Coturnix japonica: one gene and its partner. The protein of the gene in region 1 interacts with the protein of each later gene in a biochemical or structural test. Links are inferred from orthologs where the notes say so. Each region holds a gene or a part of one and is shown in the gene's direction. Other genes may lie near its edges. The genes, in order: KSR1 and MARK3.

Region 1 (4,405 bases):
CTCAGATATTCTCCATTTCTGCAAAGGTGACAGCCTCACCAACATGCAAGTGCTCAGCAGTGCTGAGCAGGGGCAGGAATTCATGGTAAGGAGTGTTAAGTCAGCATATTTTTCCATGCGGGCCTGGAGGGCAGTCTTGTACACTGGGACTGGAATGCTGCCCACTTACGGTAGCTGGTTAAGGAGCCCAGCACTCACAACACAGTACAGAAACATTCAGAAAGAATGCCAAATATCTTGTCATGCATAGCCCATAATTTTCCTGGTTTGTTTTCTTATGCAATAAACCTGGTTTGTTGTCTACTAGTAAATGGATGTTCTCAGGCAGGTATACAAAGAATGTTTATGATAATAATACTCCTGTTAATAACATTGCTAAATCCAGACACTTGTAATTCAAGACTTCAGTCTGTCACACTTCTATAAACTACAATTTTCAGTGCTAAACTTTCAGTGCTCCCAAGAGGAGGGGTGTAAAGACTTTTTCATTAAGTTGGAATGATGGAGGTAATAAAGCAAGTGACTTTTCCAAAACCACAGGATGTATCACATGGCAAACTAATTAAACCATAATCCAGCAAAGCCCTTTTTGTGTATGAAACCTGCAGCATGTGAAGAATAATGAAATCAAATACTCGGCCTTCTTAATACCTTCTTAAGAAAATTACTAAGCAGTGTACGTCACACTGCTTGATGCAAATACAGCCAAAGTAACATATACACTAGTATCCATCTAATCATGAGAAAACCAGCTGTGTCAGCTGATTTGCCCTGCTCCACTGCCTCATGTCCTATATCCACAGATCCTCCCCCCCTTTTTTTTATTTTGCATAAAACTCTGCTGTTGCCACACATAGCTCAGATATCATTCTGGCTTTTTAAACCTGCTGTCAATCTGATCCGTTGGAGGAAGTTATCTCCTGTCAGCAGAGCACAACTACATTGTCCTTCTGCATCTGTCATGTCAGATGAACAGCCCTCATTGTGCAGGCAGCTGGGTGGTCAGCTCTGTAGGGTTATGTCCCACGCTACTGCGATGCTCCGGGTGAGCCCAACAGATAGAACTTGCAGCCAATGCACCTGCTGTGCAGCTACCTGTGCCTGTGCCACTTTTCTAGAATTTCCACTGTGAAATATGAGCCCACAGTTGTTTCACAAGGCCATAATGAAGTTTTCTCCTATTTATGATATGAATAAACCCATATCACACTCAAGTGCTTGTAAGTTGTTTTTAATAACTCCCACCTCATGTGCCTTTGCTATGCAAACACTTATGCCAAAGAACACATGTATCTGATGGATTTATAGAACATCTGGGAAACCCTATTTTAGGAAAACACTCGATGGCCTTGGCAAGGGACTTGCTTATGGCCAGCACATGGTTTGTATCCATGTAACAGCAAAGAACCATGACAGCATCACTGAACTCTGCAACTCCTCACCCCACAGTGCAGAGCCCCAGTGACTCCAACTTTGCCATGGCCACGGCCGACACACCTGGAATCACCCAAGGGGCTTTTGTGGGATGATGCTGAGAGCATATAATATTGTTTGTATGCTATTTCTAAGCTCCGTTTTGGTTCTTTTGGCATTTGGTATCTGCAGACGCGAGGACTTGGCCGGACCCGATCCTCAGCAGGACAGTGCACCCATCAGCCCCAGCTCACACATCCCACAGGGCAGACTGGGCCAGGTCCGGTGTCACCCCTCTCCCTGTCTCTCAGTGTGCCGATGGTGAGGCTCATCCGGGGTGAGGTCCAAGTCCTGACGTACCTGCGGAGACCTGAGGGATTGTAAGGTGCGCTGAAAGCAGCAAGAAGCTGATGCGGGAGCTGCTGAGGCCGACACAGGGACGCTGAGGTGGGCTCAGGGATGGGCTCAGGGATGCTGAGGTGGGCGCTGAGGCGGGCATTGCTGAGGCGGGATCTGCTGAGGCGCTGAGGCGGAGCGACCGCCCGCGCCCCCTCGCGGAGTGGCCGCCATCTGCGCGGGGCGACCGCACCCGCGGTGCCGGCTCGTCGTGCCGCATGCTAATGCGCGGTAACTGCCCGGAGAGGAGAGGCGAGGCGGGGCGGAGCGAGCCGCCGCCTGCCCTCTCTCCCTCCCTCTTTCCCTGCCCGCCGCTCCCCCCGCCGTCGCCTCTCCTCCCCGGCCTCCCTGATGCCGAGGAATGGATAGAGCGGCTGCCCTGCGAGCCGCCGGCATGCTGGAGAGGAAGGAGCGGGGCGGCGAGGCGGCGGGGCCGGCCGTGCGGGGCTTGCCGGCCGTGCGGAGCACGCTGCAGCAGTGCGGGCTGCTCCAGGACCTCATCGACATCTCGCTGTCCAACCTGCGCGGGCTCCGCACTAAGTGCGCCGCGTCCAACGACCTCACCCAGCAGGAGATCCGCACCCTGGAGGTACGGGGCCGGGGGAGCCCCGCCGCCGGGATGCGCCGGTCCTGGGGCCGGGCCCTGCCTCCAGCGCCGGGCGCCGCGCTCCTTCACCGGTGCCCGGGCTGTGGGGAGGTGGTGGGAACCCCCTTCGTCTCTCCGCGGGCGCAGAGGGGTGCTGGGGGACGCGGAAGGGAAGCAGGAAGGGGGGTCGGCCACTTTCCCACGCAGGCTGCAGGGCCTCGCCGTCCTGCCGCGGTCCCCTCGGGCCGCTGGCATCGCGGCATCCCGCCGGCAGAGCGCGGTGCCGGTGCCCGTGGCGGGGGAAGGCTCGCCGGGGCCAGACAGGTGCGGGAGTCGCGGGCAGGCCGCGATGTGCCCCCGCCCCTCCGCGCTGCTGCTGCCCGGCTGCCGGCCTGACGCGGAATGGGCGCCTGGGGGGGGGAGGGGGCAGGTGCGGGGTGAGGCGGGGACCCGAGGTGCTTCCCGACCGCCTGGCAGAGATGAGACGCTGCATCCCTGGTCCCAGGATGCTGGATGCGCAGATGATTCCCGCCGGTCTCATGTTTGTTTCTGGTGGCTCCTGCTCTGTCCTTCCAGGCCTGTCTCTCTATCCCTGGCTCGGTTTCACTGAGCTAATCCGATCCTTCTTTCCACTCTGTTGGTGTGGCTGGCGGCAGCATTGCAGTTCAGGTTGGAGAGATGCTCTGCCGTTAAGAGAGGTTATACAGAATCCTTCAGGCAGAGAACGTGTGCTTCTGTGATGCTTTCCGACACGATCTGACTGTATGCATGAGTGTTTAGAAAGGAAATTCAGACTTGTTCCGTTTGTTTGACCTTATATACTGAAGTGCTTCCCTTTGCCTTGTGTGCAGGTAATGCCGCTCCAAGCAGAACACACAGTTTCCACCCAGACCCCTGCTTGGTCAGAAGCAGAGGCCAGTGCTCCTTTTCTCTAGTCCATTACTGGAGGCTGCAGAGCTGGAGCATCAGGCTCAAAGAAGGAAAATCCTTGTGAATCTATAACAAACATATATACTAGAAAATCCCTCACTTAAATGAAGCTAGGAAAAACAATAGGTGCCAACTCTCTGTATGGCCTCTCTTTGAAATCTATTGTTCTTTTTTCTCTCTTCCTCAGCCCTCCCTGCCCCCCCCCCCCCCCCCCCAAAAAAAAAAGAAAAAAAGTTGGTAGTTCTTTTTTTTTCCTGCCACCTCCAAATAGCCTTCAAAGGCTATTCTTTATAACACAGTACTTCTGTAGACTTCTGGCCACCTTGTTGTCATTTCAGTGCTCAAACAATGTAAATCACCATCAGTTTGGAAAACGATCATCAGTACTTTGCTGGTGGACTCATTCTGCAAGAAAACCTTTAATCATAGAGCCTAAAGGCCTGCTATCATCTTCAATTTGTTCTGATAGCAACAAAAAATGTTGCTAGTGATAACTATTGAGTATGTGTCTGCATTCCTTAAGCGATTATCTGCTTAAACCAATGGGTGCCACTTTTGCTGGTGATCATAAAATTTGTCCCTCATCAGAAAAATCTCTGATATACTCCCCAGTACGTGATTTCTCTGGGAATTCAACCAAGTGCTGAATCCCTGCCAGCCCATGAAGCTACGGGAATGGGCACGGACACTGCCCTTTGCTCTCTTCAGTTGCCTGTGCCTGAAGACATGATGTCATCAGGGGCTGAGTCTCCCACTTACTGACTCTGCACAGTCTGAAGAAGGTTTGTCTGCTGCTGCTGAGCGCAAAACTGGGCTGTAAGAGTTGAGGGTCTGTGTTCGTTCTCATAAGTTGTGATTTCTTGTGGTGCACCATGGGGACTCCCAGAGGGCTGCAGGGCTGCCCCAGAAACAGGTGGCTCAACTGCTGGTTGCACTGTGCCATGTTAATGTGTCAGAAGTGTGTGCATATGTATTCATATGCATTTGCCTATCCGATCAAGTCAGTTCAGGGACGTGCTCCACAACATGCACAGAGCTGGCATTTGCAATAGCCTGGCTGCAGCCTGTGGTTACTGTGCA
Region 2 (3,610 bases), on another chromosome or scaffold:
CAGTGGCTTCAGGCAGCAGCTTTTGTTTTGTTTAAGGCTGTGAAACTAAACAAAGAAGCGTTTCTGTCTGCAGATCAGCTACTAAAGCACTGACTGGCTTGTTTCTAAACTTCCATCTTTCCTGTTGCCTTCTCCCTCGTGTGTTTTTTTGCATCTTAGTATTTATGATTTGCTGTTGTCTCGTAGATCTGTAGGTAAGTGGTGTCCAGTGAGACTGCACATGTGTGGGATAACCACTGAAGGATGTTAAGTTGTGCTTTTGTCTCCAAAATCACAAATGTTTTCCATATTAAACTCTTCCTCAAATCCTTGTGTTAAAAGTACTAGAAACCATCGGCTTTGTGTTCATTCTGCCAACCATTTTCAAGTAGAAAAGGCTTTCTAAAGTCGGCACTGAATAAAAGTTGATGTTACTCCCCCTATCCTTTTTGCCAGCTCCTGCAGCTTCATTAAATTAAAACCTTACAGTTACAACATACATCAGCAATCAAAGAGTATGTAGCATCTGAGAAATCATGCAGCTGGATTTGACAGCATAATCCTTTTATTCTTGCAGTTACTGGGAGTCATTATAATAGAATATAAAATTACGAGACAGGTTATCTTTGCAATAGGTTTTTTGTGACCTTGCCATTGCTTTTTATGTAACTTTTTCATAATTGCCTGCTTAATGGTGGGAGAAGGAAGAAAGCGTTGTGTAAGCAGAAATTCACTGCCAAATATCTCAGAGAAGAGCTTAATTTAATTGTAAACTGAACTTTGAAGTTCAACGCGAGACCTAAACTGTGTGGTTTAGGGTTAGCAAGGTTATGTGTTTTCAGAAAATATTAAAGCATCGTGGCCAGTATATTAAAGTCTCTTGCCCTGGGGACAAGTTTGAAGATAGGACTGACAGCACGCAGTCTTTCCAAAAGAAAACCTGCCCCATTTTTTTCTTAAAGGTTTAAATGTAGCTCCTTATGCTTTAGCTCTGTGACTGCTGATTTTATGGAAGTAGAGGCATCATTATGAACTAGAAATTTCTGGATCGTTTTTTACTGTCCTGTATAACCTTATTTCTCCTTACCAAGTGAAAAGCTTTAAAGAAACAAAAAGAAAACCTTGCAGATTTGGGAAATGGAAAGTACTAAGGCATATTTTTTGCTGTCTTTTAGAACTGTGGCAGTAATAGGAACCCTCTTGCCCTGGTTGCTTTACTAACCATGTCAGTACTTCCAGCTCTCCTTCCTGCATTTTGGTCTCCAGGACATGAATAGATTCTAGCTGCAAAGGACTTCACCACATTACTTGATTGGTATTAACCAAATTACTGACCAGCTTAAAGTCAGAATATTTCCTCCCTGTTGAAGGTATCCCCAGTATCCTACAATACAGTGGTTCTTTTGTGCACGTCTCATAGAGTGAAACCTGTCCAGCCCAGAACTGGGTGGCAGGTGGCCCAAGAGTAGGGCTTGGAGCAACACTTAAAACTGAATCCTAGCTGATGTGTGTGGTTTTTCCTCAGTGAGGTGACTTCCCTCACGCTCCCAACTCCAGTGACCTCCAGTTGTTTCTCCCATCAAGCCTCACCTTTGTTTCAGCCCCGAACGCTGACGCTTTATCTTTACTGTGTGTCTGTACGGCAGTGAGGGAGATGGGGTGCTGCCAGGGCCCATAGACATTGCTCTTGTAGTGTGTGTTGCCCGTGAGTTTGCTTTGCTAACACCTGTCCCATGGAAGTATCTCACCCTTCTGACTGATGAATTGCTCTCTTCCAGCCGCAATGTAGCCGTGGATCAGAAGGATGAGAACAAGGAAGCCAAGCCTCGCTCACTGCGTTTCACATGGAGCATGAAAACCACCAGCTCCATGGATCCCAATGACATGATGAGGGAGATCCGGAAGGTCCTGGATGCCAATAATTGTGACTATGAACAAAGAGAGCGTTTCTTGCTTTTCTGTGTCCATGGAGATGGGCACGCGGAAAACCTCGTGCAGTGGGAAATGGAGGTGTGTGACCTGCCAAGACTGTCCCTGAACGGAGTTCGCTTTAAGCGGATATCGGGAACATCCATAGCTTTTAAAAACATTGCTTCCAAAATTGCCAATGAGTTAAAGCTGTAACAAGAAACAATAGTTAAGTTGTAAATTAGTTAGCAATTTCAAGTGTTTTGAGAATTCCGATGGAAATGTATAGAATAACATTTAGGCAATAACTTCTGCATCCTTCTGAATAGTGATATTAAAGAAAACAAAGCTGCTGAGCTGGGAGGGAGAGTTGGACTTTTTTATAAGTGCACTACAGCATTAAAGTTGCCTACTATGTAAAATATTACCCCTTCTGCTTTATTTCCATTGCTCCTAAGTCTTTGACAACAAATTGAAACACAGAATATATTCATTTAAATATGCCTCCTGTTTGTGTGGACGTGTGAATGTACAGTATGTGTGTATAATATATAAAGTATTATATGTAAACAATTCATTTACCACATGGAGCTGTACCAGTACCTCTTTTTGGGCTAATTTTGGTGCTAAAAATTGAAATGGCCAAGGAGGAAACACTTGAGTTCAATATTTAAAATAACTGAAGAGATAACCAGTAAACGCAGGTTTACAATTCACTGCTGTGTTAAGGAACAAAAGGGTGTGAAGGGTTTGGATTTACGGTTGTGAACATTATTAGTCCTGTTTTCTAAGTAGAGCTCATGAAATTATTAAAAATTCACTTTTACCCAGTAAGTCTTGCATTATGTTTTGCCCACCTATTTATTATTTAAGTCCGAATCAGATTTTAATAATGTAGTTGATTTGTGCATTAAAATTTGAGTAAATGCTTCCATTCTTCTGCTGAGCTACTAAAACTGTATCTTTATCCCTCTGGCTTACGAGTTTTGATTGCAGCTCTGAGTACTTTTCTGTTGCTCCACAGTCCCCCTGCAGAGCAGTGCTGTGTGCTGAGTGCTGACCTGTGGCTTCTTAGAGTTCTCCCCCTTGCACTAGGCCAGCCTGATCACAGCACAACAGGACTCTCAAACAGCAGCCACGTTCTGATGCACATCACCATACATGAGCCTGTGCTGCTCCAAAGTATTGCTGCGGGCACAGCAGTGCTTTCCTTTGTTTTCTGAAACCCAAAAGTGGGAGTCAGATTTGGCTGCTGATGTCCCCTGTTGTAACATCCAGCTTGCTTAACTACAGCCATGGGCAGTGGCAGCTAAACCTTTCCTTGCAGCTCTCTTGCAGCATGCTCCCGCTTGGCTCTGGGCACCTTGCTGCTGGCTTCATGCCGGCTGTGTCTCTAGATCCTGCTGAGGAAGGAGTCCGCTGTTCTCTTATGTGTGGAACCTGCCCTGACGGACACTGATGGCTGCTAGTTTCTGTAGGACACCGAGCTGCTGTCGGATGGTCCCTGCTTCTTAAAGCACTGCTGTGCTGAGCTGGATTTGGGCTGGCAGAGCGGAACCAGGAGCTTCCTACAAGCGTTGTTTCCTGCTGAATACTCAGTTCATTTCACAGAGGACTTCTGTAGATAAAACGCTGCGTTATCTACTTGACTTTTTGTGTGAATGTTTGATGGTTATATTTCAGTGGAGCACTTCAGCATGTACTTCACGCGTGCTTTAGACTG

What was found.
Region 2: of the proteins of KSR1 (region 1) and MARK3, one has a biochemical effect on the other in vitro, tested with the Homo sapiens proteins (2 studies listed by BioGRID). The link is inferred for Coturnix japonica from reciprocal best matches to the Homo sapiens genes KSR1 and MARK3.

What each region holds. Positions count from the first base shown.
Region 1 is NC_029534.1:7,872,783-7,877,187, forward strand, and holds the start of KSR1 (kinase suppressor of Ras 1), read left to right. Parts: upstream 1-1,320; 5' UTR 1,321-2,170; coding exon 2,171-2,398; intron 2,399-4,405.
Region 2 is NC_029520.1:45,752,869-45,756,478, forward strand, and holds the end of MARK3 (MAP/microtubule affinity-regulating kinase 3), read left to right. Parts: intron 1-1,757; coding exon 1,758-2,103; 3' UTR 2,104-2,854; downstream 2,855-3,610. UniProt on the Homo sapiens protein: Serine/threonine-protein kinase. Involved in the specific phosphorylation of microtubule-associated proteins for MAP2 and MAP4. Phosphorylates the microtubule-associated protein MAPT/TAU. Phosphorylates CDC25C on 'Ser-216'.